Linked DNA regions of Arabidopsis thaliana. The protein of the gene in region 2 interacts with the protein of the main gene of each other region in a biochemical or structural test. Each region holds a gene or a part of one and is shown on either strand. Other genes may lie near its edges. The genes, in order: D6PK, EIR1 and CRK5.

The links.
Region 1: of the proteins of EIR1 (region 2) and D6PK, one has a biochemical effect on the other in vitro, tested with the Arabidopsis thaliana proteins (one study listed by BioGRID).
Region 3: of the proteins of EIR1 (region 2) and CRK5, one has a biochemical effect on the other in vitro, tested with the Arabidopsis thaliana proteins (one study listed by BioGRID).

Annotation. Positions count from the first base shown.
Region 1 is NC_003076.8:22,636,811-22,647,019, forward strand, and holds D6PK (D6 protein kinase), read right to left. Parts: upstream 5,605-10,209; 5' UTR 5,299-5,604; exon of another isoform or gene 5,053-5,298; intron 4,936-5,052; 5' UTR 4,825-4,935; coding exon 4,190-4,824; intron 4,107-4,189; coding exon 3,245-4,106; 3' UTR 3,003-3,244; downstream 1-3,002. Other genes in the region: AT5G55900 (Sucrase/ferredoxin-like family protein), read left to right, coding at 802-1,143, 1,632-1,717, 1,794-2,099, 2,201-2,284, 2,369-2,792; OLI2 (S-adenosyl-L-methionine-dependent methyltransferases superfamily protein), read right to left, coding at 8,932-8,980, 9,086-9,405, 9,519-9,618, 9,704-9,783, 9,871-9,963, 10,061-10,135.
Region 2 is NC_003076.8:23,094,981-23,107,537, reverse strand, and holds EIR1 (Auxin efflux carrier family protein), read right to left. Parts: upstream 7,023-12,557; 5' UTR 6,774-7,022; coding exon 6,504-6,773; exon of another isoform or gene 6,353-6,503; intron 6,256-6,352; coding exon 5,953-6,255; intron 5,573-5,952; coding exon 5,128-5,572; intron 4,731-5,127; coding exon 4,461-4,730; intron 4,163-4,460; coding exon 3,895-4,162; intron 3,808-3,894; coding exon 3,722-3,807; intron 3,647-3,721; coding exon 3,489-3,646; intron 3,366-3,488; coding exon 3,289-3,365; intron 3,149-3,288; coding exon 3,082-3,148; 3' UTR 2,310-3,081; downstream 1-2,309. Other genes in the region: AT5G57100 (Nucleotide/sugar transporter family protein), read left to right, coding at 1-38, 155-321, 420-590, 696-975; AT5G57080 (uncharacterized protein), read right to left, coding at 8,170-8,232, 8,454-8,579; AT5G57070 (hydroxyproline-rich glycoprotein family protein), read right to left, coding at 9,590-11,317. UniProt on the Arabidopsis thaliana protein: Acts as a component of the auxin efflux carrier. Seems to be involved in the root-specific auxin transport, and mediates the root gravitropism. Its particular localization suggests a role in the translocation of auxin towards the elongation zone.
Region 3 is NC_003075.7:12,115,585-12,125,863, reverse strand, and holds CRK5 (cysteine-rich RLK (RECEPTOR-like protein kinase) 5), read left to right. Parts: upstream 1-5,649; 5' UTR 5,650-5,729; coding exon 5,730-6,546; intron 6,547-6,621; coding exon 6,622-6,762; intron 6,763-6,832; coding exon 6,833-6,954; intron 6,955-7,043; coding exon 7,044-7,254; intron 7,255-7,328; coding exon 7,329-7,566; intron 7,567-7,638; coding exon 7,639-7,792; coding exon of another isoform or gene 7,793-7,831; exon of another isoform or gene 7,832-7,867; coding exon 7,868-8,176; 3' UTR 8,177-8,373; downstream 8,374-10,279. Other genes in the region: CRK7 (cysteine-rich RLK (RECEPTOR-like protein kinase) 7), read right to left, coding at 1-133; CRK6 (cysteine-rich RLK (RECEPTOR-like protein kinase) 6), read right to left, coding at 1,827-2,150, 2,237-2,405, 2,479-2,716, 2,809-3,019, 3,120-3,241, 3,345-3,479, 3,624-4,467. UniProt on the Arabidopsis thaliana protein: Involved in multiple distinct defense responses. May function as a disease resistance (R) protein.

The DNA.
Region 1 (10,209 bases), 460 kb from region 2:
ATTTCATAAAAAACAAGTAAACAACTTTAAAAATGGCCTCATTAATTCTTAATCCCATCAACTAACTTAGATAGAAATTGCTAAAACCAACTCGAAGCTGAAAGCCTTGGACAATATAGTCAATACACTTTGTTTTAACATTAAAGGAAACGTTTTGTTGATAATCACAACCAGTAATCGAGCTTACCTGATATCGAATCTCTTGACATTTCTTCCTTTTAATTTTACATAAATTTTGGTCTTTTTCATTTTGTATATAAATTCAGTTTTTCCAAACTTATGTTTCTATTATGTTCATTAAAACTACTAAACATTTTACCAAGTTTTTTTTTTTTTTTTTGTTAACGTGTTGTCTTACATAAAAATTTCTTAAAAAATTGTTTACATATGAGCCTTATAAAATGATATCAATCATATGTAGATTGATATTCTGTCACCAAGTTGATGAATGATAGTAATGATATTAAATACACGATTATGTGTGTTGACATGAGATAAAAAGTGTATAGAAAAATGTAGAAATGAGAAAAAATCAAAAGGTTAGCATTTATTTATGGAAGTCGATTTCACCTTTGATTTTGTTTTCCAAATTGTTAATTGTTGGAATACCAAACGTGTCGAAACTGTGGTACAAAAGATCATCATTAGTCCCATAACACACACTTTTTATTTATTACTGTACTTAATTAATAAACAGCAGAATATAGTATAATTTTATTACTCTCTCTTCTTCTTCTTCCTCTTCTCAAAAACTTTCAGTTTCGATCTCTCCTAAAAAGTTTGAACTTTCCGTCGAATCAAATGGGAAGCGGAAGATATCTAGACGACCCTTTAACATTTACTAGAAACCCACCTTCCTCGTCGTCTCCAATCACCGAATCTAGCTTTCTCGCAGAATCGATCTCTCGCTCTGGTAGCTTCGAGAGTGGGAGCTTACGAGGAGGCGATGGTGATTGCTTTAGCGACGTCGATTTCGCACTTGATAAACTCGCTGGGACTGTACAGTTCTACGAGAGGCATGTCTTCTTGTGCTACAAAAAACCATCCGTTTGGCCTGCGAGGATCGAAGCTTCTGAGTTTGATCGGTTACCGAGGCTTCTCTCCTCCGTTATATCGGCGAGGAAGAGTAGTATGAAGAAAGAGGTGATTTTGTTTTGAGGGACAAAATTTAAAGTTCCAGAATTTACTGTGGTATTAAGTAGCCTTAGGTCTGAGAATCTCTGTAGTTTTGGTCTCCATGGGTTTGTGATTCTAACTTAGGGGAGACTTAGAGTAAATCCCTAAGAAAGGTTTCGCCAGTGAACATTCCTAATCTGCAATATGAGTTTAAAAGGCACTTCTTTGTTTTTGTCTTGTGAAGAGCTTCTTAGATCTCAGTGAGTCGTTTCTCCTGAGGATATTTGGGATTTTTCTTGAGGCATTTTTTTATTGGCAAGATTCAATGCTTTACAACTTAGGAACTGTTAGTTTGTTTGTAAAAGGTTTCAGAATACACAATTCTAGTGTACTGACTTTGAAGGAACCCTTACTTACAATGTAGCTTCTTATTATCTTGCACATCAGTTATAAACTATCTTTTGGGTCTTTTAGATGTCTTTCTGATGTTTTTTTATCTATGCGTTGAATTGCAGACTTTACTCACAATATGTGAGGGACATGATGGTTCAGAGACATCAAATGGGGATGTTCTGATATTTCCAGATATGATCAGATACAGGTACTACTCAGTTAATATTGTGGTTGATGATTCTTAATAAACGGTAACTCATTTTGGCAATTTCAAAAAAATGCAGAAGGTTGACTCATTTTGATGTGGACACATTTGTTGAGGAGGTGCTTGTGAAGGGTGTTGAGTGGTTGCCTGGAAATCCTGAATCTCTTAGTAGTTCATATGTCTTTGTATGTTGTCATGGATCTCGAGACCGGCGATGTGGGGTTTGTGGACCTTCTCTAGTTAGTCGATTCAGAGAAGAAATTGACTCGTGTGGTCTTCGAGGTGAAGTTTCAGTCAGCCCTTGTTCTCACATTGGTGGTCACAAATACACTGGAGATGTTATCATCTATGGATTAAATATCAACCAGAGAGTCACAGGACACTGGTAAGTAAACTAAGGCTAGCTTTGGAGTAAAAAGATTTGAGTGTGCAACCATAAAGAGTTCTATGCGAGTTTTAACTTATTAAGTAATTCTTGTCTCTTAGGTATGGATGTGTGACTCTAGAGGATGTTCCTCTTTTGTTGGAGCAACACATTAACAAAGGCGAAATTGTAGACCGGCTTTGGAGGTATAGAAGATCAAAGCTTCTTGATTTAGACAGTCTCTAAAAAGAATTTCGGCCTTTAAACAACACTTATTGATTGTTTTCCAGGGGTGAAATGGGTCTGCCAGAAGAAGATCAGAAGAAAACTCAAGAACAAAGGTTACAATTAAACAGCGAAAAGATCAGCAACAGAGAGGTGACTCAAGAATCAGTTAATAATAGTATCTGTTGCCAGTCTCGAGCTGTCCCAGAGCTGAACGGTAGTGGTTGCCAACAAAATGGGAACTCCTCTTACTGTCTGGAGGAGATTCACACAGAGAAAAATACCTCGGAGAGAGTAACCTCTGTAAAAAATGCATCTCTTCGGATAGGAAGCAGCGAGAATGGATCTTCTGGTGGATTCAAGGTTTGTGCGGTGATGTCAATGTGGTTGGAGACTTGGGAGAGAGAAGATACATATGCTGCTTTAGCTGTTGCTTGTGCTGCTGCATCTGTGGCTATTGCTTATAACTGCTATAAACAATTGAAATGAAGCTATGTGTTTTATATTTAGCTTCTATGCAATGGTAATTATCTCAGTCTTTAGATTAGTTGTTTCCTCTTCGTCTGTACAGAGTTAGAAGAGGGTTTTAACTCTTAAGTAAGAACTGCTTGTTGATAACATATGATTATTATATATCCATTTGTAAGTAATTACGGGTTTAGTCAATTTGGTTTAGAGTTCAGATCAATGAAAAGCAAGGAACTTTTGAGGTTTTGATATGGTGGATTAATGGATTCTCAATGGTTCGTGTCTAACATTAAACTCAAGAAGATGGTACAGAGACTGTCTCACAACTTTGAAGAATGATTACAAATCTCATAACTTTTTCCAAGACGTGAAAATTAAAAAGAAGAAAAAAAAAGAAACACATTTGTAGAAAACACTAAACAGAATTTGCAAAGAAACAATAATGAGAATCATCAACTGTGGAAACAGTTTCTTCAGAAGAAATCAAACTCAAGATAATTACTCTGATCAGATCTTACACTCGAAGATGCGGCTGCTGGCACAGTAGGAGTAGGATTCAAAGCTTCAAGATCAACCGGTTTAGGAATCTCCGGTGGACTGGCACATCGAACCAGAGCCCAATTCACTCCTTCAAAGAAAGGATGTTGCTTTATCTCTGTTGCTCCACGCTTATAAGCTAATCTATGTTGTGGCTCCTTCACAAGCAAACTCCTTATCAAATCCCTAGCTGCGAAGCTAACAACCGGAGATTCAGGGAATCTAAGAGGCTGACCAACCACGTTGAAGAGCGTTGCTCGATTTCCTGACCCTTTAAACGGTGTTTTACCAAACAATAGTTCATAAAGAAAGATCCCAAAGGTCCACCAATCAACTGCACTTCCATGTCCTTCACCTTTGATGATCTCTGGAGCTAAGTACTCGTGTGTGCCAACAAAAGACATAGAACGGGCGCCTGTGGGCTCTGCAACGAGTTCTGGTAACGGAGTTACTTGGTGGTTCCCGTTTTCGGTTTTCGGTTTCTTGTCTTTCTTGGATTTCGATGAGAAGAACCGAGGACCGAAGCAAGATGTTGGAGCCATTGAGATGCAAGATGGTTGCTGGATGCATGCAGGTTGTTGCGAGCAAGAAACCGAATTCTTCGACAAGCCTTCGGATCCAACATTAGCTGATCTGACTATAGAGAGGCTCACAGTACATCTCAGGGAGAGATCAAAATCCGAAAGCATCACGTGCCCATCATCTCTCACAAGAACGTTCTCGGGTTTCAGATCACGGTAAATGATCCCAAGCATGTGTAAATATTCCATTGCAAGAAGCACTTCCGCGACATAAAACCTGCAAAACAGCAAGTCACTAAGGTTATATAAACGCACAAAACTAGATTCTTAGATAAAGAAAGTTTAGAAAAAGTTTCTTACTTAGCTGCTTGCTCGGTGAAGCGTTTCCCGGGTTGTCTCTGCCTTAGTGTATGCAAATCACCACCAGGACAAAACTCCATCACCAAACAAGAGAACTTCTCTGTCTCAAAATGACTATACAAAGTCGGAAGAAACGGGTGATCAAGACACTGCAATATCTCTCTTTCAGTTTGAGCCCTAAGAAGCTTTTTCCGGCTAGCCAAAGCAGTTTTATCCATAACCTTCATCGCAAAATAACACCTAGTTCCATTCAACTCAGCAAGATGAACAGTTCCAATATCTCCACATCCTAACCTCTTCAAGAGCCTAAAATGATTCAAACCCAAACCACCATGTTTAGTTCTAACAGCTTGAATAGCTTCCCATCTCACATCATTAGCCTTGTGAGGTTTGTTGATACTGCTACTAAAGCTGCTACAAGTGCTCTCATCGCTTATATCACTGCTTGTACTTGGTCTACAAGTGCTACTCTTTCCACTCTCACCTTGCTCGTTGATCTTACTATTACCGGTTTTGCCATCACTACTTGGATCAGCGAAAGACAAACTCGAAGATACTTGATCTGCTAAAGTGTTGATTGACATACTTTGACTGGAATTGGTAAGTGATCCTTCTGGAGTTTTTGAAGCCATCATTAACACAGAGCAATCTTAAACACCAATTCCTTCTTCCCTGAGATTTAAAGAACTTGTCTTTACTCTCTAGTAATCAATACTGTCACAGATTCCATCAACGAGTGGCCTGATCTATAGTCATCAAAACAAAACAATAGCATCAGTTTAAAGCTGGATTGAGAAGACTCAGAAACAACAATCACGGATCTTACTACAGATGAAAGTTTAAGTAGATGCACAAAATTTTACCCAAATTGAAATATCAAATCTAAGTGACAAATCAATTAAAGCTCTTCATGCAAAAAGTTTGGATTTTTATTTTGAGTCTTTAAGGGTAAAAACAGATCTCGTTAAAGTAAAGAAGAAGAAGAGGCAAAATAAAGAACTTTTGGATCTAGCAAGAATCAGAGAATAAAACCCAGAAAAAGAAGAAATAAAAAGAACAGAGCTTTAGAGAGAGAGAGAGAGAGAGAGAGAGACCCAATAAATCGTTACCTGAAAGTGAAGATTTTTGAGCGATAAAGATCACGAGATACCCTTTTCGAAGCAAAGGGAAGGAGAAGTAGAAGAAAAAAGGAAGGAGAGGGAAAGAGAGAGAACAGTCACTGTTCATGTAAGGCTGTAGAGAGAGAAAGAGATGTAAGAACACATCTGCTTGCTTCCATGGAAATGGGGATAGATAGAGAGAGGGAGAGAGAGGAGAGAGTGTTGTTAAGAGAGAGAGAGAATTGGGTCTACCATGAAAAGAGGGAAGAGGAGAGAGAGGGTCAAATAAAAAGTTGAATACTTTTTTTTATTTTTTTTATTTTGAGGGAATTTCAATTATTTCAATGTATTTTTTTTTGTTTTCTCCAAAATGGAAGACATATGTTTACATCAAGAATGCTCTCGCGAGCTGTTAATAATTTTAGGCTTTTTAGGGCAACCAAATTTTTATTGATACATGTTATTGTATATTTCCTACATGTTTACTTTATATTTTGATTTTCTAAATAATTGTCTATAGAAATTTTTATATATATTTACCAAAAAAATTCCTTTTTGATTCTTTAAATTATTAAACACATCAATTTAAATTATTAAAATTCAACATTCTTATCTTTCATCTATTCTCATGAATCTGTCATGTGCCTTTTACTTGATGATAAAAAAAATTGATGTTTACCTCTATGCATAAATTTATGGATTTTACATATTTAGCTTAAGTTTTCACACGAGTTTTTCAGTTTAGCAATTCTAAGTAAGAACTATTGTGAATGCACATTTTTGTTAGAAGGACAATCCCATATGCGTGCCACCAAACTATAATTTTCTGTTTTATTTATGCGGTTTGGAAAACATCGTCCTAAGCGTATGTTTTCGTCATCATGCAGCATCTTCGGAAGTTTCTTCTTGTGTTCTAATGGGTGAAACTTGAGGCATTAAATGAACATTAGCGCATACCATATCACAAAGAGTTTTGCATCTTTTCGGATTGCCAATAGATGATAAATCTTATAAGCTGAATGAAGACATAACAATAGATATTTTATATCTCGATTTCTTTTGTTATCAATTCCATTTACATCCAGTGTTCATCCAATTTTATGGTCGAAATAATACTTTCTAAAAGCTTGTTAGCATCCGTCAAACATTCTGTTTTCAAATTTTTAGTGAAAGTTTTTGTCATTTACCAAAATCAATAAAAAAAAATCTTTTAAGTTTTTAAAAATAACTAAACATTCCAAAATTGTATAAACCTTTAAAAAATTTCCCTAATAACAAATACGTAAATTGGTCATGTGTATTAATTTTATTTTATTTTTTTACTAAACACACCAAACAATTATTTAAAATTAGACTCACCATTGTTTGAAACTTGAGAGTTCCAAAAGATGCCCCTAAAACTTTTCAGCAAATTCTTATTTATTGCCCAATAATAAGTTTCCTTAGATTCTAAGATTATATTTCATGTATTTTATTTTTTTTCCCCCACATTTAAATCGAACAGAAACAATGTTTTTTTAGAAATGGTTCAACAGGTAGTTGACAAACCAGAAGATTGTTCAACATAAAAGAACACAAGTGGGTATAATTTGTTCATTTCCTCATATCTCAAATAATTCATATTTTAACCTCATGCTCTTATTAGATCCAATTACTGCGTCAATTTTTAATCGAGAAGCTCAGATCCAATAACGACAATTGCTACACGATCGGCTTGTGACGTGAAACGCGAGTGGGGAATCTTTCTTCATTATAATCCCATTTCTTTAGGTTAAAAATACTGCAATAATAACAAAATAAAAGGTTTAGTTTATTAAAATGTTTTGTTTACCATGATACTTGAGGGATTAAGGTTTCTAAGTTTCTTCATTACAATTTAAATCATAGCTGGACACTGTCACTAAGGATGCTTTAACATTTAAATGGTAAGAATATCCATTTTTATACAAGTTTCTAGGTTTACTCTTAGATTTAGATCGAGTCCTCTCAAAGTCTTAATTATATTATTTTCTTAACAAATTCATAGAGATTCAATGGTTAAAAGATTTATCGTGAAAATTAAAGATTCGAGTGTTCCTACAATGAGATTAATCATTATTGGTGGTAGTTGTGAATGCTTTAAATAGCAAAAATACCTAGTTCTTTTATGTCCAAAAAAACTAGTTTTTTTTTTTTGGTAAGCTCCAAAAAAACTAGTTTAGAGTTTGGTTTAGATCTCTTTGTTGTAACTTATAAATATAATGATAGAGATTTCTATTTATTATCAATCAAAACAACTTCTACACGCAAATTCGTTTACCTAATATTTTTTAATATTTTAATGTTCTTTCCAGTTTTGTTTTTGTTTCACTAAAGTCAGCCAAAATAATTCAATTATGATGGGCATATTATAAAAAAAATTACAGTAATTTTGTTCTTTATTTCCAATAATATGTCATATACTGTACACTTGTTTTCAGTTAATTTCTGTTTGATTAGTTTATTATCCACTCTACTTTAGTACAACCCAAATGTCAGAACATAGTCCACATGATTTTGTTTGACGTAAAGTTATAAATAATAGTCCACCTGATTTATTTTATTATCTTCTTTTTGTTTATAAAATAACCATCTTTTTCCCTTACAAAAATGTTCTTTATAACAGCAGACAAAAAAAATGTTCTTTCGAATATAATAAAATCAGGAAGAAAGTAAACAAGAAAAATATATGAAATTATTCATACCATAATAATACAAAAATTGATTGATTGGAACATATAATCGACCAGTTAGATATCTTTAATGATTTTCGATTATTTGAAATACATATTTATAAAAAGAATGAATAATGCAAATAAAAAAAGAAAAAGGAAGAGTTAAGGATAAATAATCAAATTAAAATTGAGAGGTCCCCAAACAAGATCTGACAAAGATAGATGAAGAATGGGTTGTCATGTTCTCCAACACAAGTCCCACTTTGGTGTGAGAGTTTCTCAATCTCTCTCTCTAACTTCTTACAACCAATCAACAGCTCACTGCCAAATCCCTAATTTTTTTTAAAAAACAGTTCTCTGAAAAATAAGAAAAACTAAACTGAAACAATTCTGAGCCTTTCAATTTCATATATTTTGTTTGGTTTCATACAATTATGGTTTGATATAGTTTGGTTTGAGTCAATTCCAACATATGAAGTGATGAATTAACAAATTAATTAAAAAGTTGATAATTAATCATTTGAACTTAAAATTAACAAAATTTAGTATATTCATTTCGGTTTGTTCCAACTACATTTAGGTTAAAAAATGTTGGGTTTTTCGAAATAAAAAATATTTAGGTTAGTAGTTATAGTTTTTTTTTTGGCCACCCCTAGTTTGGTTCTTGAGTAAAAATAACAGCAATTTAGTGATCGGCTCAAGAACACAACTTAACTTTGATTCTCTTAAAAGATTTTTTTCTGAAACAAAACTTTTGGACATTTAAGGTGGTCTGCCCACGGAGTCCAACAGAGTGCTCACTCTGGGTGCTTTTAACGTTGCACAAATCTCGTCGTGAATAAACAAAAACAAGAAAGCCAATATATGGCACAAGCCTACTATAACCATAGATGATAACGTTTTCGCAAATGTTTTTTCTTCTCTTTGATGAAAAAACACTGAATCATCATTACTTCTCCTCCTTCGCCTTCTCCCGCATGGCTATTCTTTTCTCTTCCCTGCAAACGTGATTATACAAATCATTGTCAAGCAACTATATATAAAAGACAAGTCTAAAGCATTTTGTTCTCTCAGTTCATGGATGGGGATAGATATTTATATACCTAGCTTGAGCTATTTCGTTCTTCCATTCCCGTCTCTTCTTCTTTTGCTTCCTTGGTTTAGATGGCTCTTCCACATTTTCAGATTTTGATTTCTTATCCTTTTTACCTCTCTTGTCCTCCTTTGATTTTGCAAGTTTTTCCTTGTTCTTTTTTTCTTTTCTTTCCTTAGGTTGCCTAACGGGAACAGAAGGCTTCTCCGTCTCTTCAATGGCCTCAGCTTCATCATCATCATCACTAGACACTTCAGCTTGCTCTACAGTTTCTACCGCATCATCATCACCTTCTTCTGAAGATTGCTTCACGTTGCTCATTTTCTTCAGCTGTATAAAGAAAAAGAACACAAGAGCATTACATCAAATTGTGTGGATTATATCAACTATTAGAGTATTGACAAGTGCATGGTTGATCGATTACAATGGCCAAAAGTGAGTACCTTTGCCACAAAAAATCCGTCCATGTTGTGTACATGAGGATAGAAACGTCTAGTCTTGTCCAAAGATGGCTGAAACCGGTGTTCTCTAAATCTGGTAAATCTGATGAAGAGAAGAAGGACAAAGAGTTAGAGACATTATTTAATGTTCCTTTAAATATCCCTCAGATGAAAAACTTGTGCATTACCCTTTTCTGCCAAAATCGAGACCACACGTAACGAGTTTAACATCCCTCTTTTTGAGGGCATAGTCAATGACGGCTTCATTCTGCACAATTTTTTCATACATAAAGAAAAATTAGGATGAATCAAATACAAAGAAGAAAATTATGGGGGAAATTATCAGTTAACTAACCTCAGTAACCATAATTGAACATGTTGAATAAACTATATATCCACCGGTTTTGGAATTGGCATCCACCATATCAATAGCAGCGAGTAGAAGTTGCTTCATGAACAAAAAAGGGTTAACTTAGCATGTGTTTAAGAATGAAAATTGGTCTGTTCAGATATAATAGAAGTTATTTAAGAAGGTACTGCCATACCTTTTGCAAGTGAGCAAATTTCTTTATCTCATCCATGGTTTTCGTTATTTTAACTGATTCATCTTTTGATATAATCTGTATTGGGTAGCAGAGGAGATTTAGTAACAAGGATCTAAAACTTAACTACAGTTTAACAGAGAGTAAGTTCG
Region 2 (12,557 bases):
AGTTCTTGTGGTATAGAAAGAGAGTTTCTTTCATGAAGGTAAATGAGATTTTCTCTCTTTATCACACAATTTGTTTGTAGTCAATTGGATTTATAGAGTTAACAAAGAGAAAAACTTTGGTATAGTAAGTAACCTTGTGGCTGATGTTTTTCAGGTGGTATCACTTACAGTTGTATCTGTGGGAGTTGCGGTTGCGACTGTAACAGATTTACAGTTTAGTCTGTTTGGTGCTTGTGTAGCATTCGCATGGATCATACCAAGCGCAACTAACAAAATCTTGTGGTCTAATATGCAGCAACGAGAAAACTGGACTGCTTTGGCGTATGTGATTCAGATTCGTTTGTTTTCAGTCACACTCATTCATATAGCTGTATCAACATCTCTCAATACCATCTCTTCATTTTTATTTTTTAATTCAGGTTGATGTGGAAAACGACGCCAATCACTCTGTTGTTTCTTGTATCGATGATTCCGTTCTTGGATCCGCCCGGTGCTCTATCGTTCAATTGGAGCTTAACCAACACATCTGCCATTCTTGTTTCTGCTCTTCTCGGATTCTTTCTTCAATGGTCAGGAGCCTTAGCTCTAGGGTGAGTAAAAGTTTCTTATACATTAGTGTTGTCGTTACATTTTGGATTTAAAGGTTGCGTAGCTGAGTGGTTCCTTAAGTCCAAATTTTGCTCCATATATTGCAGAGCAACTTCTGCAATTACGCATGTGGTGCTAGGACAGTTCAAGACTTGTGTCCTCCTCCTTGGAAACTACTACATTTTCGGGTCGAATAGTGGTTTCATTAGCGTTGGCGGTGCGTTTGTGGCGATTATGGGAACTTCGTTATATACATACCTTAACACGAGAGGTCAATCTCTTAAAACTTCGTCTTCTTCTTCTGCTCTCTCGGAGAAGAAGTCAAGATTCAGTGATCTTAAGGATGATGACAAGAATCTTGAACCTTACGGCTCCGAAGCTGTCTAGTCTAGGCTAACTTTTGTATTATATAGTTTTGATTATTCCACATTACATTAGATTCTAATTCCAACTTTTTGTTTTTGTCGATGATTCTTGTTTCCATTTTTCTAATTTCATCTCTGAAAATAAACAACTTTTCTTTTGACAACAACTCTTTCAATTCATTTTTTTGTTTTTGTTTTCTTTTGTCTTGTCATCAAATGTTCTTGTATCTTTTATTTTCTGTCAATTTTGGGAGGTGTATATGTGCTGAATATCTTGAAATTTAATGAAACTGTTTTTTTTGTCATCTGAAAAAGGATGAAATTTATATGAAACTGTTTAGAAAACAACTTATAATAATTAACATAAACTATAAGAAGAGCAAAAAAATTAACAATCTTAAAAATGATTTTAGACCAAAACAAAACCAAAATGTCATGAAATGATTTAGGCCTTATGGGCTGAATTTGTTAAATGGGCCGGTTTTAGTCTTACGTATTGAGGATTTGTATCATTTTGCTTTTAATTAGTAATTGATGATTTGATCCAATATGGAACAAAAAAGAAGCTCATAACGCTGATTCATTTTCGATCGCTTTTAGTAAGAGACTGATAATTTTTGGCATTAGCAAAAATGATAAAATTCTAAGGTATTTATGCAAGTTTGTTTATAAACATGTGCTATAATGTACTTGAAACAATATGAACATTAATTTGTTATACAAGATAAGATTCACGATGAGACATTATAATAGTAAGGTGCCTAGAGAGACAAGAGCTGTCACTGAGCAAATGTTGTCTCCTACTCAATGCACAAAACCTTCTGAAAACATCAAAACGTATAAATACTTTTACCCTTAGTATACATATGCTATTTCTCTTACGCACTTCATTGAATAATAAATATTTTTACGTGTAAACTATTAAAAGATCTATTGTCAGATAAGTCAGAGGTCAGGACAACTATATAGAGAAGAATTGTTATTGAATTTCTCATGTGTTGTTGTTCGTTCAATTACGTTCCGACCAAAGAGCGAGTTCCAACGTATATCTCATCGTTTTGATACCCCACGTGATCGTTTTCACGTTACACAGTCAACGCCTCCAGAGCCAAGCCATCTTTTCTAGTACATTACATTTACATACTTAAATTCAAGCGCCGATCACCGATACGTTTTGAGGAGCTCATAATTAATCAAACGCAAGGAAAAAGAAGAAAAATAATTTCTATTTCATAAAAACTTTGGACAGTTTGGTTGAAAAGTTTGATCACTCGTTAAGATATTCACACATGTTAGATATGCACAATTTGTCTATAACGCAAAACTTATCATCAGCAACTATCTTACTACACAATCAATTGTCTAGACTAGTGCTTTCATTTGAAATGTTTCTTTCTCCACGCAAATTCTTTGTATCACTCCAAAAATAGTCCGAGTGATATCTTATTGGTGACAGATAAGTATATACTAAAATAAAGGAAAATTAAATTCTATTATAAGTTTGATTGTTCTTTACTCATCGAATTAAAATGCGACTACCTTCAAGCTTCAACCGAATATTACGTTCATAATTTTTTAACAAAAAAAATAACGTTCATAATTAACTTTACATACAAACAAAAACATAAATATATAAGACAAAAGAAATGAAATAAAAAGGTTATATGTGGAAGTATTAGTGCATTTGATCCAAAACAAAATAAAGAATTGTATGGAGATTTAGAAAAGCACAAGATCTAATCTAAACAGACTGCGCGATCTAGTAATACTTGACTAGTATATGATGAAATATTAGTGTAATTTAATAACATGCTTCACGACCATCGATAAATAGAAAAAACTAATCAATAGTAAATAATTGTACTTGCACATCCCAAAAATTTAATAAATGTAACAAAAACTACAAAGTCACGTACATGCATGTGCATATAATTAATTATACAAAGTTATCTAAATTTTCGACTATCATATGCTATAATTTAATTAATGCGACATTGCATGGTCCCATACACCTAAGCCTGACCTGGAATTAGTCTTTTTTCGTTCTTGTAATTATTCTTTTTCGTTTGAAAAAAAATCACCTTTGGGTCGTATCGCCTTTTATTTGCAAATACGTTTTGATAATAACTTAAAGCCCCAAAAGAACGTAGTAGAGTACTGTTACAGGCAAAGCAACCAGCATTCCGAATATAACCCTGAAAAATAATATCAAGTTTTTAGCTTAGGAGATCTCTGTAACTTTGTATAGTTTGAATACCAAATTAATATCTTATATATAGTATTAAAATGAAGTTTAAGAATGAAAATTAAATATTTTATAACTTAAATAACTTACGCAGTGCTGAGAATATCAGGATGGACGTTATATTCTTTGGCGAAAACAAAAGGAACGATTCCTTGAGGAAGAGCAGCCTTCAAAACATACAATTATATATATTCTTATCAATTATATTTTTCAAAGAAACCCAACATCACTAGCTAAAACATCAAACTGTAAGTTAGATTGAAATATATATAAGACTAAAGAGTAATCACCTGAACGATGGCGATATGGAGGAGATCACCTCGAATACCAATTGCTATTGAGGTGGCTGCGATCACGGCTGGTCCAGTCAAGAACCTTACGGCCATCGCAAACCCTGCTACTGATTTTCCGCACGCAATAATCTTTGGTTGCAATGCCATAAATAGACCTATATGTATCAATAATTAGCAAAAAAAAAAGCACCAAAGACTATAACTAAATATATATATGAAGGGAACTATACCAAGACTAAACATAGCCATTCCAAGACCAGCATCAGATAATATCGAAATCGATCCACTCATTATCGTTGGCATCTTTATATTCCACCTGTCCCATAAAATGATCAACAACATCAAGCAATTGCCCAAATATATTGTTATGTTATATGATTGTGACATTATTATTAGTACTTACTTGAAAGAGACAAGGGACCAAGCAAGGCCAAAGAGACTAGAGTAAGTGTTAGGGTTTCGAATGAGTTTTCTCCAAACCATTATCAGAATTAGTCTCGTCATCACACTCGCCGGCGGCATCTGCTGTTTCCTAGGACCGGGACCGCCGTCTTCCACGTCGCTACCTTTTTTGCCCATGTAAGGTGACTTTCCCCCGTTATTACCGTCTTGGTCCATTTCCACATGCCCTTTTCTTCCCGGTGACATGTTCTCTATCAGATTCTGCATCGCTGTCATCACCAAGTATGAATATAATTATAATTAAATATCACAGAAAATACTAAACTAAATTTATTATGACCTTTCTTCGACCAAAAAACTAACTTATAGAAAGCCGTACGGAACCAAATAAAAATCTACTTTAATTAGTTTAAAAGTTTTCATAAGTTTTGAAACTTTGAAAAAACTATAAAAAAAACTTAGAACCGATATTGAGCTTTATACATTTTTCCTAAAAGTTAAAAAAAAAATAGAAGCGTGGCAAGTAATGATAAAAAAAAATATGAAATAAGTTGGAGATTAATAAACCTTTAGTAGCGAGGTTGTCGTGAGGAGGAATAGAAACTTTAGGGTCGGTGGATACATCGGTGGAAGAACCTCTGGTCATAGCATTCTTCGCGTTGGCTTCCGACACCGGAGAAGCACTCGAACTCCACACGAACATGTTCATCTCCTTGTTTTGTCCTCCTACTCCTACTCCGCCACCGCTTCCTCCGCCACCACTTTCCTTTTTCTTGACTCCACTTGCTCCACTCGTTGACCCCGTGAACATTGGGTTCGGCGGTGGGTACGACGGAACTGACCATAAATTATAGAAAATTTTATTTTAAAACATTACATTATAATGAAAAAATCACATTTAAATTTCAAAATACAAAATTAATATTTTGTTTTCCAAAACTATAATCAGTTTAAAAACCTAAGAGTTTTGGAAGTGATATACTAAATTATTATTATTTTGTTAAAAGAAAAAAATAATTACGCAAAATTATTTGATGAACTCTTTACTTAACTTTTAAACCTTTTTAAACCTAATAATATCCCACTTATAATCACCGGTGACTGATGGAAAATAATAATAATATCTGAATCGATTCTTATATCTATTTAAATTTATAAAGAAGCAAAATATATTTTTTTAAAAAAATAAATAAAAAATAAATATATATATATATATATATTAAAAAATTCATACCACTATTATTGTTGTATAATTCCCCACTCATACTTCTGCCTCCTCTTCCTGCTTTCTTCGCCGTCTTCATAACTTCCTCATCAAAATTTGACGTTCTCGGCGTCACGCCTTTAGAAGACTGAAGTGAGTAAACATCTCCACCTGGACCAGCTCCAGCGCCGCCGTAGCTATTAGTGTAACCGTGACGAGGGCTTGGAGCTTTGCTTGCGTTAAACATTGCGTAGAAATCTGTCTGATTAAAGCTAGAAGCTCTCGGCGTCGGCTCTCGTGACGATTGAACGGAGTAAATCTCTACGCCGGTGAGATTTGAAGCTCGCGGCGTTATCATGGAGGAGTTAAGTCCTCCGCCGTGAGATTTGTTGAATGAAGAGATCATTGATGAGGCGGCACTTGATCTTCGAACCACCACGTGTAGCTTTCCGTCGTCTCCTATCTCCGCATCGGTCTAATGAAAGATAAATCCATATTTTTAGGTGATGAATTTCGAGTCGATGTGATTTAAACCGGATATAACCGAATCGGTACAAAAAGAATGAAAATTCAACTAGACTATAGTTAATAACTTGATATTTCTTATATTGTACTAATTATTAAATTCTGCGTGAATAATGTAACACGTCACTTTGAAGATTATTTTTGACTTCTGAAAAAGGAACTCAGACAAAACTCAAAATTTGTTATAGATTTACATAGGCAAAAAGGAATCCCAAAATGACATGTAGTCATGTCGTAACTAGTAACTACCCATTTTCTAGTTTACTTGAGTTAACCGGTCCGTTAATTTGAACAAACATATGAAAAAGGTCATCAGTGAAAAATTCATACCTGGAGGGGTTCACGGCCATTAAGAGAGATAACATCAGAGTCAACTCTGAAGGAAGTAATTGAACCAGCCGTCTCCGGGAACTGCTCGGAGATGAGAAGCTTAGCCCCACGGAACTCAAACAAGAAGAGCATTAATGTATACCATATGATGCTCTGAAGCACCACGATCTGCACCATTAGGTTACCGGAGAAGTCTCCGTACATCGCCCTAAGCAATGGGATTCCCATTACCAACGTGTTAGGCAGTGTTGATAGTGAAAAGAGCGTTATCATCCATTCTAGGCTTCCTCTGCGGCTAAACGCCTAAAAAATAATATCACAATATATACACAAACATGAGAATGTGTGTGTTTAGAGACACATATTACAAAAGAGCTAAAATGTTAACTAAAATATTTACCCGTGTTAAATGACATAGTTACTATACTATAAGCTTTCGATAACCAATATGTTTTCGAGTAAAAATTGACCATCATAGCAATTACTAGTAGACTACCATCACTTAATGAAGATAGATTATGTGCATAGAGAGATTATTGAAAGAGACGGGCCTGCCAAAGAAAGAGTGCGGCGAGGATAACGACTTTCTGAAGAGAATCAGCAGCGAGGAAGTGGTAATTCATTGCATAAGGATCATTGGAGGAGATGAAATGGAAAGAGAGAAGAGGAACCGCGAAAACCGCAACGAACCGGTTTATACCGGAACATTGGTCCGGTGTGAATATCCCCCACCACCGTACCGAACCATAGGCTAATATCATAGCAACGTATAGCGGCACCATAGCCGCTAAAACATCGTACATGTCTTTGCCGGTGATCATTTTGATTTACTTTTTCCGGCGAGAGAGAGAAGAAGAAGAAAAATAGAGATATAGATGAGTATATGTGGTGTGAAATAACGTATTTATGGACAAGGAAGTGAAGTTCCTTGAGACGATATTTAATTAATGTTGTTTGTGTTAAAATAATGGGATTCGTGTTCAAACATTGAATTATAGCTAAGCTTAGCTAGAGAGGATCGTTGGACATTTGAATATCAAATAAACAAAATATAAACCAAAATGCCTTTTTTCTTCCTCGGCATTTTGTGAATGGACAAATACTAATACAGTAATAATTTCAGTCTGAATCTTCTTTGGTCCATAATTTTTCGAAGTGCTCTAGATTTTTTCTTTTTTTCCGTTGATACTAGATATTCCTTCTATCTTTATTACTTCTGCAAAAAGCCGTTATATTTAATTTGAAGAATCTTATCTTGGGATAAGGAAGATTGGTTTACCTTCTGTCTCGTGGTCTAACATTATTTGTAAGTAAAATTAAATGCTTCAGAGATTATAAATTATAATTACACAAATGTTAGATTCAAAATATCTGTAGAGTCAGATACTTGGATCCACTTGTACGTGTAATACAAATTTGTAAATTTAGATTAGATTTTATATTAATAAGAAAACAAATTTGTAAATTTAGATTAGGTTTTATATTAATAAGAAAACAAAAACGATTTTTGTGTAAGCTATTGAGACGGCGAAGGTTGATGGACATGCACATGGTTTTTGCGAGCATCTTACTACACTTTCTGAGCGATCTGCGGTTCCCTGTAAACATCTGATTTTTAATCAGGAAAAATACAATTGTAATTAACTTATCTTTTAATCTTGAAACGGTGTATTTTTGTTTTTAAACGAAAATCTCTTAATGATTTATTATTAACTACAGTCAAAGACATTGGCAATTGGACCGATGAATAATTAGCCTCTCTTCCATATTTAATTGTCGTGTTTTCTTCATATTGCAATTGTTAACGTATTTATCACGCCACGTGATTGGGCGTTTGGGCCTAATGGACCTATGGATCTAACGATGGAGATACTAACTAGATTATCACTAAAATCTCTTTTGAAGTTCCAATATGTATCGAAGACATGGTTTTCCACAATCCGTAGCAAAGACTCCATCAATTCGTTGGTCTCTATGTCATCTACACGATCATCGCGATTTCTTATATCTCTTTAAAAAAAACGGTGAATTGACCAACAAGAAACCTAAAAAGAGTTTGTTCTTCTTTACATCTTCACAAGAGGAAGAAGAATAAAAGCCTTTAATAAGTGATCTCAGTTTTAAACTTTATCCATGTTTTTTTGTTAACTCATGAATTGAAAGAGAACAACCAAAGTGAATGTAGCCTGATAAAACAGGATGAAACTATTGAAAGATTCAAACTTTGTTTACAGAATCATCCTTCTTGGCCACTTCACTACTTTCCAACGGTGGTAAACTCTGCACAAAAGTAAAAAGCAATCAGATTACAAATCTCTCATGGGCAATTCATCGAACACCTTATGTGCATTACAATAAAAGAGAGATCACAGAGCCAGAGAACGAAATGAATGGTTTTAAACCGATCACGCTTATGGGCATTATCAAGAACGAAGAAAGTGAGCAAACCTAATACATTTGAGAACCCTAACATATGTACAGAAAGAGAAGGTGAAGCTTACGAGATCTGGTTTGTAGATGTTGTGGACAACGGAGGCTCCGGCGAGAAGGGAAGCAACGACGACGAGTGTTGACATTGCCAGAGACGGAGTTCCCGTCGGCAACTTTCCTTTATACGGTTTCTTCATCTTTGGCTCTGCTTTTTGACTGAGCGCGCGATATGAAGAGAAATTTGAAAAGCTTTTCGAAATTTTGAACCATCATCAACAAGTTTGCTTTTATAGCAAGTCGGCTTTTTATGATTTGAACGCGCAGCTCTCGCGCGTGAGTAACACGTCACCTCCCTGCCTGAATCTCATTATCTAAGGCCAAAGTTTTGAATTATATAATAAGGTCAAGCTACTCTAAAGAATTATGGAAATATCAAAACACTTTTTTGAGGATCGTTTATAAGCTTCAAGACCATCACTTGACAATCATGAGAGTTCAATACCTCAAACCTCATCAGATATGTCACATCATTCGGTACTGGTAATGATATCCTTGCAAAACATGAATTCAGTTGACATATCATATACATATTACTAGTAAGCTATAAGAATCTCACTCAACACACAAATGAATTTATTCTTAGAGATACATACGACAACCAGTCATTATGACAATCATCAACCAACTTGAAGAAGAATTGCTTGTAAGGGAGAGGGAAAGGTCACAAGAGGTAGGCCCAACAAAACTCAGAGCCCACAACTATATTTTCATATCAATGGGCCATACATTGTACATACATCAATGCGTACCAACCAAAATATAAAACATTCAACACCGAAGTTATTGAGTTTTCATCTGACACTCCAAAGTTCAAACCGAATAATCAAAACACACCAAAGCAAAATCCCTCAACCGGTTAAACCCAAAAAACTAACCAGCCAGTTTGAAACCATTTACCACTAATAACTATACCAATAATGCCAATATTACCCGTAACTTTTGAACTCGAGTCCTTGCTGCACATTGCTTAAAATCACAACGAATTTCGCCAATCAAATATAAAATATCTCCAACAATTTTTACCGACTTCCCTTGAAGATGTTTCTCGTATGAGATCCTTGTGCATTGCACAGCCTTGCAGGGCATAAGAGGTTGAAACCTACGCCGTTTTCGTAATGGGCCTAATAATAGGCCTTAAAAAGCCCAGTTACCTCTTTCTATTCACGGAATTGATCTTATCGAGCCTCCACTCATCTCTAAGCCTGGCAATGAAATTGTCGGCTTTCGTATCAACGTCCGGGCTTGGGCAGAATCCCGGCATACCGCCGCCGCTGACGGCAGCTTTAGTCTCAACTCCGCCATCAGATTGTGTGAGTTCTAGACCCCAACCGATATCGAACACTTCCCGTTCAGGGGAGCTACATCTAGAGCTCTGATTACTCCGTATCTTCGCGAAATCACCACTCACGACATATTTTAGCGGCGGAACTCTAAACGGAGGCGGTGGTGGAGGTGGAGGCGTAATTTGGATTAACGGAGATCCTTGGCCGTTGTTCTCTTCATTGAAATTCTTCGGTTTCGTCGGACGCGGAGGTCTTCCGGATTTCACTCTCCGTGGTGGTGTCTGAGGATCAAATTGGGTATATCTCGGCGGTGGAGGTGGAGGCGGCGCCGGAACGGAATGAATCTTTTTGTTGCTCTTAACTCCTTTCTTGAACAATCCGTAGAATACTGATTGTGACGATCGCAATGGAGGCGGAGGTGGTGGTGGAGGAGGAGGCGGAGACGGTGGTGGGATTAACGATTGGTATTGCGGTGGTTCCGTTACATCTTCCACCATCGGAGAAGATTCGATTCTCTCTTTTCTCTTCGATTTCTGAAGCTTCTTCTTCTTCTTCCCTTGATTATACAGAGAAGCGAAAACCATTTTAATCTCTTTCGCCGCATTGCTCTTTCTTCTTTGAAGAGTTCCTTGTTTTCTTGGTGGCGTAGCGGCTATAAGCGGCTGAGGAGGTGGTGGGGGCGGTGGAGGCGGTGGTGACGGCGGAGGCTGAAACGTTCGTTTAAACTTAGTCTCACTGCGTTTGGCGTTTTCTTGTAAATCTCTGTTTCTAACAGAACGATGAGTCCTTCTCGGTTTCTGCGGAACTTCAACCGGCGGAGGTGGGGGAGGAGGTGGTGGTGTTGCCGGTGGTTGTTGCGGCGGAGAAGACGGTTTTACAACGAACGTATCAATCTGAATCTCTTTAGGCTCAGATTCTTCTTCCTCGATTTCAGTTTTAGAAAGATTCTGAAATTGTTGGTAAGAACTCGAATCCTGCGATCGGTACTTATCGATTTCGAAATCATCATAAAACCGGAACCGTCGATCGCCAGTTTCTCTAAAAACTCCTTGTCTGAGATCAGGATAAGAGCTACTACTACGCCTCAACGGTACATTCCCGGTAACCGGTAATCCATGAGAAAAACTTCGACTACTTACACTCTCATAGATCTTAAGCCTATCAGAATCATACACGTCATCAAACCACTGCTCTGAAACCGTCGACGACGAGGATGAGATTTTGCTAATCTCACCGACGGTCATTTCACCATTCGTAACGGCTCCTCCTCCTACTTCTTCTTCTTCTCCGCCGTGTAAAGACTCCGAAGACAATCCGTCGTCGTTTCGTCTAGCGAGTACGCCGCAGAGAATCGCGAAAACCACTAAAACCACGTTTATCGAATCCCATCCTCGCTTCACCGAAGCTGGCTGAAGAATCTGAGATGTGACTGAGAGAAACGTAGGAACGACGAAGGTCACAAAGACAAGAAAAATCGCCGCTGAAGTTACTCCGATCATCGCCGGAACTAAAATCGCCGGAATCGATGATCTCCGGCGAGCATATCCGGTAGAGTCAAACTGGGGCCAGATCAGCGGCGGTTGATCGTCCATTTTTGCCGGTATAATTTTTGAATAGAGAGAGAGAAGAGAGAGACTTGTCGATTCGATTACAGTACATTAATGGAGTAAACGTTTATATAGTGGTCTTATTATGTGGCGGAGAGATTAACAATAATAGTAGTATTAATAATTTTAAGTACGTTATTATAGGGGGAAATGATATGATTAAGATTTATAATCATACGGACACGGAAAGGAATTGTTGTCATGGTCTCGAACGATGTCGCGCCGAAGATTTGTTAAAATAATATTATTAAACTCGATTCAAATCATTGAGTTGGAAAATTCCTCGAATTGCTTAACTTGCATTCATAAAAAGATAATGCACCCTAATTTCCACAATATCAAAAGTTATAATTGTTTGACGAATTTATAATAAAAATTTGTGAAAGATGTACAAAAGAGCTATTTGATAATGACATGAAAAATTGAGATATATTGATATGTTATTTTCTCGAAGCCGTCCAAGTATAATTTCAGCATTGTTATTTGAATAGTATAATTAATCGGATTTGTTGCATGATTTATAAAAAAACAATTTTAATTTCATTTTAAATATTGTTGAGGATGTTGCCACTAAGGCCCGTCTTGGATAACCCTTGTTTACAAGCAACGTAGAGCCGTCGACCAGAAGAGATTTATATATTTTTTGCTTACCAAACATTACATTAATCATGCAAGTAATTGATGCATATAATGGAACATATGTTGACATATCAAATACTATATTGTTTAGCAAGGAAACATTTCAACACAAGATTTCTATTATACCGCGAGATTTTACTAGCTACATTTGAAAAAATTTCTTACTCAAAGTAAGACTTCAACTTTTATTACAAAATATAATGCCTAGTTAAGGAATAGTCAACAAATGAATGTTAAAAAAAATGATAATTGTGAAAGCTTCAGAATAACACGACGTAACATTCGAAATTAATAATGATATTTTAGGGGACTAAAAGGTTTATGTTTCTTAAAACAAATCTCTTGGATTTGTATTTGATTTCCTGAAGTTATTTTAAAGTTTGAGATCTAAACCTCGGGATTTTATTCACGAAAGTTGCAAAATATTACATCAAGTCGTGTTTTTTATTACTATCTTAAATCTTAATCACTACTGTTACAGAAATATCTTATGTTCATGGCGCACATCTTTTAATTACCACGGTGGTTCATGAAGACACAAACATAAATGATGTCAAAGTTGTTTCCACTCTTAACTATAATTAAG
Region 3 (10,279 bases), on a different chromosome or scaffold from region 2:
AAGTGCTGTTACTTGAGTAAGTTGTTGCATTTGGACAATAATAGGCTAGGAAACGAGGATCTTGAGCAGAAGCTCTGAAGCTAGTGAGGAATGAGAAAAGGAAAAGGAATATGAAAGGGAAGAGAGAAGACATGGTTTTTTCTTTGAGTTCCTTGATTTGAGTTTCACATTATGCAGCTTCCATTTATAAACTGACAAATTATATTCTCTCTCTGACTAGTGCTGATTATTTGATTAACGTGAAATATACGGTGGTTTGTTACGACTTTAAAGTCAGTCGTCAATCAAACTCAATGTACTGTATACGATTAATCTTTTTTATGTCATTTTTATTAACAACAAAAGTAAAAGTTATTGGAAGAAGACGTTGAGTTTAGTGTTTGGAATCTTTGGATCATTGATCCAAAAAAACATTTGTTGAGCAAAACCCAAAAACTTAATCATTGTTTCTCCACCTCTTAAATAATATGGGAGTTTGGTTTCAACTTTCAAGAAATGAGAGATTTTTAAGATTGTAGAGAGTATTGTAGTTATAGAATAATTTTAATATTGTAAAGGATATCCACAGTTTTTTTTTTTTGTTTTATGAATAAAATTTTACAAACAATATATATTTTAATGAAACTTAAGCCTTTGAATAACACAATTTTTAATGGAGTTTAAAAATCATGAAAATTAATAAAACTTAAATTTTATGAAGAATATCAAAATCCATAAAACAATAACAAAATAATCTCAAAAGTTGTGAAGGATCCATCTAGATGTATGAAAATATTTTATATAAAAAAAATTGAAAAATAATTTATAGGAAAAAGTGCAGAAGGTATGAAAAGAGATGTGAGTGATATAAGTCTAGGCATATTTGTAAAGTTCCTTGTTTCCAAAAAAAAAGACTCTAAAAATCAAAGCCTATTTCTTTGTAGGCGAACCTTCCACTGAGCGCGTTGATTGGTGCTGATTCTAAATAAGGCTACAAACTGAATCAACTAGGGTTGCGAAATGACTGTTTTAACTTAATAACTGTTCCGTTTGTTACTTGTATGGTAAGGAAGTCTAACGGTGCTGTCTTATTGACCCAAAGTTTCGGCGCCAAGCAGAATAGTCATCAACTTATTAAATAATATTCAAACCCAATATTTTTTATTTTTCTCGGAAATAGATTGATAGACGTCAAAACCTGGAATTTTGTAATTCTATTTTCTCTGGTTATCTCTTCCACATGTTTTATTAGTCTAACATTTAAATTCCTCGTGTAGATGACTTTGTCTTTCAAAATATTGTATTAGTTATTAGTTTACTTTACAACAAGAAAAAAAAAAAAAAAACTTTTGACGTGATAGATAGTTCACATTTCATTTACTTCACCACATTACAAATCATGTAAATCACCTTCCCACTGTACTCTGTTTAGTCTCTGTTTCCAAATCAAATGGTACAAGATCATTGGAGGTATTGCTAAAGCGATTCTAGAATGATTCAAGATCATAACCATACATTGTGACTTCAAAGCAGGTATATATCCTCTTGGCTCTTAGACGCTGAAATGAACTCCAAAGTTATAGCTTTTGGATTGCCCAAATTTTTAAAATGAACCAAACTGTAATGCCAACATTCCAAGTGTTCTCTCCCTCTCTCATTTTTTTCAATCGGTGGTGATGTTGAGACTAGACTAATTATTCATTATTAAAAAATCAAAACAAAATACATATGGTTTTAACAAACCAAATCAAAACTAAAAAATTATTAGGGTTGATCACATCCACAATTCTACAAATATGTAAACATTTGCGTAAGCTTGATTACAAGCATGAAGTTTAAGGTCATATTTAGCGCGGATATAAATCTGTGATCGATTCATCATCAATAGACGCTGGAAAAGACTTGGTCGTGGTAGACTGATCTGAATCAAGCGGGTCCTTTACGGCTCTACATTGAATGAAAAACCCTGGTTGCCGAGGCACTGGTAAGGTCACAGTATTACTAGTGAGCATCATGAAAACGGTTGATATTGCCGGACGCTTTGCAGGATCTTCTTGAACACATAAAAGACCGATATGGATGCATCGAACCACTTCACTATTCTGGCAATTCTCTGCTATAAGTGGATCCACGAGGTCTAATGCTTTTTTGTTAGTCCAAAGCCTCCAAGCCTTGAATACCAATCAAGCAATCAGTTCTAGCTAACATTACTTAATGTAATGTAAGAGAGGTATATATTGATTGTCTTAAAACTTACATGTGTGAGCAAGTCTTGTGCACCGTCTGACTCGCCGAAGCTGCTATTCTTCCTACCACTTATAATCTCAAGAACTAACACTCCGAAGCTATAGACATCAGATTTCATTGAGAATTGGCCATGCATCGCATATTCAGGAGCCATGTAACCGCTGGAATCCACAACAAAACTTTAGTGTATATGTTGGCAATGTAAAATGTTCAACATATTATAAGTTATGAGATGTTAAGTGGAAGACTTACTAGGTACCAACTATTCTGCTTGTGTTATCTTGGGTTTGGTCCAATCCAAAGATCCTAGCCATTCCAAAATCTGCAATTTTCGGATTTATATCCGCATCTAGGAGAATGTTACTTGCTTTAAGGTCACGGTGTATGATTGTGAGCCGTGAATCTTGATGAAGATATAGAATCCCCCGAGCAATTCCTCCAATGATATTGTATCGCTGCATCCAGTCCAGCTGAATTTGCTTTGTAGGGTCTGTGCAAATCCATGGATTACAGTTAAATCTTGAGATTAGCAACCCCAAGTTTCAAGATTAATGGTCAAAGAATCATTGAAATGCAACAGACCAAATAGTAAGCAATCAAGGCTTTTGTTAGGCATATACTCGTAGACCAAAATTCTTTCCTCTCCTTGTAATGAAAATCCAAGAAGCCTAACCAAATTTCTGTGTTGAAGCTTGGCAACTACAACAACCTCGGTCTTGAACTCCGCTTCGCCTTGTCTTGAATTTTTCGACAATCTCTTCACCGCAACTTCTTTCCCATTTGAAAATGTACCCTATCCGTTTAACTTTTTAATCAGCATCATCTCGTTATCCAATCAAAGAATCAATACGAAGTACTTAACCTAGGGTGTACTTGAAGATATTATAGTATACCTTGTAAACCTCACCAAAACCACCTCGACCAATCTTATTACTCTCTGCAAAATCATTTGTTGCAGTTTGGATTGTTCTATAGTCGAGCTGTAGTGAGTCTGCGGTTGCCATATCATCTCCTACTGCACAATAAACAGAACAAATGTCTTAGTAATCAGCTAAAGAGGCTGATGAATGACGACCACTAATATATCAAACCTAATTAAGATTGTTAGTAATCTTTACCCTCCGATGCAGATGCTGTGTCAAAAGTCTTCTTTTTCTTTTTTGCAAGGAAACAATAACCAACTAAAGCTATGAAAAGCAGAACAGCCAGCACAACAACGGCTACCACTAACACTGTTGAGTTCCCACTTTTCCCTGCTTTTTAAAGATCATTGGCTTAAGATCAGATAATGCCACAGAGTATAAAAATACAAAAATTAATCAAAACAACAAAACTTTCCCTACTAGTATTTCAAGAAAGCAGGGGAAATAAAAAGAGAGGACGGAGAATGAGTTCACCAGGTAATGAAGAAGATGATATCGGAGGAGTAGACACCAACGACTCCCTCGGTGGTGGTGGTGGTGGTGGTGGTGGTAGTGGTGGTGTTTCAATGGCGCTTTCATTGTAGAACGGGTAAAGCTCGTACCTTGCAGTACAACTCGGCCAGTAAAGTCTTGCTCCTATTCTGGAAAGAGCCATTCCATTGATGGAACTTTGCAAACAACTCAAGCAGTCTGCTCTTGTAAGATCAGGAGTGCACTGAAGCAGCCCGTACAAATTCTGGTATGCGGTCAATTCGGTATTCACCGTATATAATTTTCTAGAACTGTTGGCTGCTTTACCGGCAGCTTCACTCATCGTGGAGGAAACAAAACTTGTGAACCCGTCTATTTGTTTTTGATTAGGAGAAATAGTGTTGGTGTTACTCAAGATAAATTCTCCTTCGTTTGTAATGGCCGTCGATAGAATATTCTTGTGAGAATATCTGAGTATACATTGCTCGTAGTAAAACACGGCTTCTCTTACCTTGGGACAAAGATTTAAGGTTTGATTGACAGAAAAGGCTACGCAGTTACGGCAAACTTCCGGTGAGACGTCTCCGCGGCAAAGGAAAAGTCCGGTGACTCTGTCGGGGGCTTTTCCTGCAGTGGCGTTTTGGAATCCGGTGGAGTAAGAGGCGTTACGTGAAGATAGAGAGGACAAAAGGGTTCTGAGATTGGTGGAGTAAGTGCTGTTACTTGAGTAAGTTGTCGTATTTGGACAATAATGATTTAAGTAAAAAGGATCTTGAGCAGAAGCTGTGAAGGAGCTAGTGAGGAATGAGAAAAGGAAAAGGAAGTTGAAAGATATAAGAGAAGACATTGTTTGAGTACCTTGATTTGAGTTTCACATCATAGAGCTCCCATTTATAAGCTGATCACTAGCGTGTAGTATAAGATGGGTTGTGGTGACTATAAGAGTCAACAAGTCAAAGTAAATGATTCTTTTTCTTATTATTGTCATTTCTCTTAAACAACATATATTTTTATTTGGGAAAAGCCCACGTTAAAATTAACTTGAATTTGAATCAAAATTTAGTTATTTGATCAGTGATCCACATATCACCAGTTGAGCCCAATAATGAGTGTATAAACGGGAGCTCCTTAAAAGTTGGGAACCACTAGCCTACTACAACTTGGTATTAGAAACAAAAGGAATTCAAGAATGAGATTCTTGTTGTAGCAAAGCTTAACGCAGAATTTCGGTCAAGCTTCGATTTTTCTTAGTTAAATTACTTCCATTTTTGTTTCATAATATTTTAGTGCCTGACAAGTAAGTGTAAGATACTCTTGTCTAGAATTTTATTTACTAGAGAGTGAAAACAAAAGGGTGCAGAGAATTAATGGCTTATCTGCTGATTCTTACACAATCAGTTTGTTTTGTTGGAACAGAGATGTGATAAGTAAGTACGGTTTTCTGCAGAAGCAAGAGAGTTTGTGAGGAACAGAGAGATGAAATGATGTAAGTAGGCAAGTTTCAGTTCTTTGTTTCCCAAAATGACTCTAAAATTCTTATACACAGTTGTAAAGTTCAGAAGGAAAAGTACTAAAATATGAAGTCAACGACAATCTTTAGAGTCAACCTTCCACTAAGAGTGTTGATTGGTTTGATGAAGCAGTGAAGGCTAGAAACTGAAGCAACTAGGGTTTGGGAAGTTACTGTTTTAACTTGTAACTGTTCGTTTGTTACTTCTTTGGTAAGGAAGTAAAACGGTGTTGTCTTATTGACCCAAAGTCTCCGCGGCTTGCTGAATAATCACAAACCTATTAAATATCCAACTCCAATAGGTTCATCTTTTTCCGGAAACAGATTCATGAAAACTTAAAAATTTATAATTGTATTTTCTCTGGTTTTCGCTTTCACATGTTTATTCTAACATTTTTATAGTTGATTCATTTTAGTTAACATCAATACAAGTTGATGTTACTCGTCTAGTTGACCTTGACTTGCAAGATATTGTATTATTTTACAAAAACCAAAATTTGACTGGCTTGGCTGGTTTCACATTCATTCATTAGTACTCATAAACCAATCATTAAAAGTAAGAAAAAAAAAACAGAGAAGAAAGGTGAAGAAATTGGATAATGTCTGCTTATACCTCATTAAACTTTCTCTTCCTTCTAACCTTCTTCATTGGAAGCTTGAGAGTTTCTGCACAATTACAAGACCCTACTTACGTTGGCCATGTTTGTACTAACAGGATATCAAGAAACTCCATTTACTTCTCAAATCTCCAAACACTTTTGACCTCTCTTTCTTCTAACAATGCTTACTTCTCTTTGGGATCTCATAGTCTCACAAAGGGTCAAAACTCCGACATGGTGTTCGGACTTTATCTCTGCAAAGGAGATCTCTCGCCAGAATCTTGCCGTGAGTGCGTCATCTTTGCTGCTAAAGACACTCGGAGTCGATGTCCAGGTGGGAAAGAGTTCTTGATTCAGTATGATGAGTGCATGCTTGGATACTCAGACAGGAATATATTCATGGATACTGTAACCACAACTACAATAATCACTTGGAACACTCAGAAAGTTACGGCGGACCAATCTGACCGGTTTAATGATGCAGTGCTTTCTCTGATGAAAAAGTCTGCAGAGGAAGCGGCTAATAGTACAAGCAAGAAATTCGCGGTTAAGAAGTCGGATTTCAGTTCGTCTCAGTCGCTTTATGCATCGGTTCAGTGCATTCCTGATCTGACTAGTGAAGATTGTGTAATGTGTCTTCAACAATCCATCAAAGAATTATATTTCAACAAAGTTGGAGGAAGATTTCTTGTCCCAAGTTGTAACTCAAGGTACGAGGTTTACCCCTTTTACAAGGAAACTATAGAGGGAACTGTTCTTCCTCCGCCGGTTTCGGCTCCTCCACTGCCACTGGTTTCAACTCCTTCCTTTCCGCCTGGTTAGAGCTCTGTTTTATTTATTTACCTAATAGTTAGTTTGGTTTTAGTTCATGTCTAATCTAAGACTTATGCAGGAAAAGGCAAAAATTCTACAGTGATAATCATAGCAATTGTTGTGCCAGTCGCTATCTCAGTTCTTATTTGTGTAGCTGTTTTTAGCTTCCATGCATCAAAGAGAGCAAAGAAGACTTATGATACACCAGGTGCAAATGATGGTAAAGATTCCAAAATCTATGTGTCCGTTGCTTAAACTTTTATGGATTTGAATTCTTAAATATTTTGCAGAAGAGGATGACATCACAACTGCAGGGTCACTGCAGTTTGATTTCAAGGTTATTGAAGCTGCAACAGATAAGTTTTCGATGTGTAACAAACTCGGTCAAGGTGGATTTGGACAAGTTTACAAGGTACTACTACCGGTTCATTGAGTTTCCTTGTTACTTGCATAAGAGGATCAAATAAGGGGATGGCTCTGTTTAATTCACAATCTTTTTAGGGCACACTTCCTAATGGAGTACAAGTTGCCGTGAAGAGACTATCGAAAACATCAGGACAAGGTGAGAAAGAGTTCAAGAACGAAGTTGTTGTTGTGGCAAAGCTTCAGCACAGAAATCTGGTCAAGCTTCTTGGATTTTGTTTGGAGAGAGAAGAGAAAATACTTGTCTACGAGTTTGTGTCTAATAAAAGCCTTGATTACTTCTTGTTTGGTAAGATTTAGCTTAGGAAAGATATTTCCTTTTGGAACTCATGTTTTAGGTATTCTAACTATATGGATGTGCAGATTCTAGAATGCAGAGCCAGCTGGATTGGACTACACGGTACAAGATCATAGGAGGAATTGCTAGAGGAATTCTGTATCTCCATCAAGATTCACGACTCACAATCATACATCGAGACCTAAAAGCGGGTAACATCCTTTTGGATGCTGATATGAACCCGAAAGTTGCAGATTTTGGAATGGCGAGGATTTTTGAAATAGACCAAACAGAAGCCCATACGAGAAGAGTAGTTGGAACCTAGTAAGTTTTGGTCTTGCCATCTATTAAATATAAAAATTCTCTATTAACTCAAACATTTATGTATCGTGGCAGTGGTTACATGTCTCCCGAGTATGCGATGTATGGCCAATTTTCAATGAAATCTGATGTCTATAGCTTCGGTGTCTTAGTTCTTGAGATTATAAGCGGGAGGAAAAATAGCAGCCTCTATCAGATGGATGCTAGTTTTGGAAACTTGGTTACATATGTGAGTATAATAAACACTTACACTTTTTTGCTCTACTAAACATTCATAACATATAAGTCTTAAATTGTTCAATAGACTTGGAGGCTATGGAGTGACGGGTCACCACTAGACCTCGTGGATTCTTCCTTTCGAGATAGTTATCAAAGAAACGAAATAATTAGATGCATCCATATTGCCTTATTATGTGTCCAAGAAGATACTGAAAATCGTCCAACCATGTCAGCGATCGTCCAAATGCTTACTACTAGCTCGATCGCCCTCGCTGTACCTCAACCACCTGGATTTTTCTTCCGGAGTAATCATGAACAAGCAGGTCCATCGATGGATAAGTCTTCTCTTTGTTCCATTGATGCTGCATCGATTACTATTTTAGCTCCTCGTTAAAGACAAACTTGTTTCATAAACTAGAACTAACTGCAAATTTCAACATTTGGATTTTGGTGTTCATTTTCTAATACTCTAGGAGATTGTTACTAGAATTGAGGTCACGGTGTTTTGAATTGTTTGCACATAAATGTACAAATAATTTACAAGTTGGTCCCATCAATGTGCCTTGGGTTGACTTGTGTTTAGATTTTTGTTGAGTCAACCGCAAATGTTTACAATTATACCGTAGGCTATGGAATCTCTCTTAAGGCAGAGATTCACAATTGGAACAAACAAAAAAAAAAATGGTCCACGAGGAAAAAAAACAAAGATGATCAGAGACGAAGTCAACAAGAAAGCGAGAGAGAGCAACCAATATCGAAGAAGACGAATTAAAGTAAAGAAAAATGCCAAGACTCTTAGCTGTTTTACAATTATTATTAGCATCTCTTCGGTATTTTACAATTCGTATTTTCTTCTCTTACAAAACAACATCAAAATTTATTTCGAAGAAATCAAACTCAACCATCAATCGAATCGTATCCATAGATTTCACCAAGATGGGATACAAATTATTTAGATCCTTTCAGACGAAAAAGGGAAAAAAAATTGATGTGTACAAAATTACTTGAACCCACTCACTTTTGATGATCAATTGCTTGGGAAGCAAGCAGTCATAGCGGTGCCAAACCCTAGTTCTTAGTCCTTTGTCGAGAAGAATATAATGTGCATTTGTGATGTACAACCCCATTAAGATTGAGATGAAGCCCGTATATCATGGCCTCATGGGCCTCAGGGCCATAAAGATAGGAGGACAGCGATGAAATTGCTTCTTACAGACTAGATCAACAACTAGGTGAAGACAATATAAAAGAATTCGTTCATACAATAAATGTGAAAAACAAAATTCCACTTTTAAATAGATATTTAAAAAGAAAGAGAAGGAGGTAAAAAATGGAAATGAAGAAAGAGGTTTGAATGATAAAAAATATTTTATACTATAAAATTTGAATTGTTTTCCTTTTATTGGCAATAAAAGTAAAATTGATTATATAGTGTGAGTCAACCATTCATGTTTTTTTCTTGTGAATCTGTAATTAACTTACAACGATCCAAAATTGTATGAATTTTCATTTGCCATTAGTGCTAATGCAATGTTATTTGGTTTATGTGTACAAAAGTAACGTTCTAAACTTGGGCAGTCACGCTGTAAGTGCATGTGTTTACCTAAATCTATATATGGTGACAAAAAAACGGTGACGAGTTTTGTTGGTTTAGTGTTGATTTTCTCTATAGAAAAATCTAGAATTAGTGCAATTAAAAAAATGAATATAGTCATGTATATGGGAAGAGAGAATAAAATAAAATATATAAGAAGGAAAGGAAAAAATAAAATTTCGTTGATGAGTAGAGGCCTCTCCTAGGAAATTATGACAGGAGAAGAAGAAACTGAAATCAAATAGAGAGATCGTGGAAAAAGCTAAAGAATTTTCTGCCGTATATTGTATGTGTCGATGTCAAAGGAAGTGTGTACAACATGCAGAAGTAACAAATGGGAGAAAACCTATAAAACGCGTGCAAGCTTATTCTCTAAAAGTGCTTACTTAACATTTTTATCCAAAAGAAAATGCTTGCTTACATAAAAAATACTAAAACAAAACATAAGAACATAGTGCTACAAAATCTCATACGTTCTATGATATAAAGCAAATTACCGGAAATAAAAACCAAATACATACAATATTTCTAATTCGTTGTTGAATTGCATACATGCCAATCATTGTTGAATTGCATACATACATACCATTCGTTGTTGAATTGCATACATGCCAATATGACAGTCTAAAAATATCTAAGCATTAATAATTGAAATTTTACATAATAAATCATGAAAGAAGTCATCATCTTCAACATAGTTTGAAAGAAATCTTAGGAAAAAATCCTTAGAAGATTTAAAGGAGGAAGCAATATAACACTAAATATATTATTAATTTAAGGTTATTAATTTTAACATCCGTTAAAAAGTTAACAGCCGTTAACTCGGATGTTTGATTTTGCCAAAATTTAAATAAACGAAGGTTTTTTTTGTTAAAGGGTTTAATAAACGAACAAAGGTTTTTA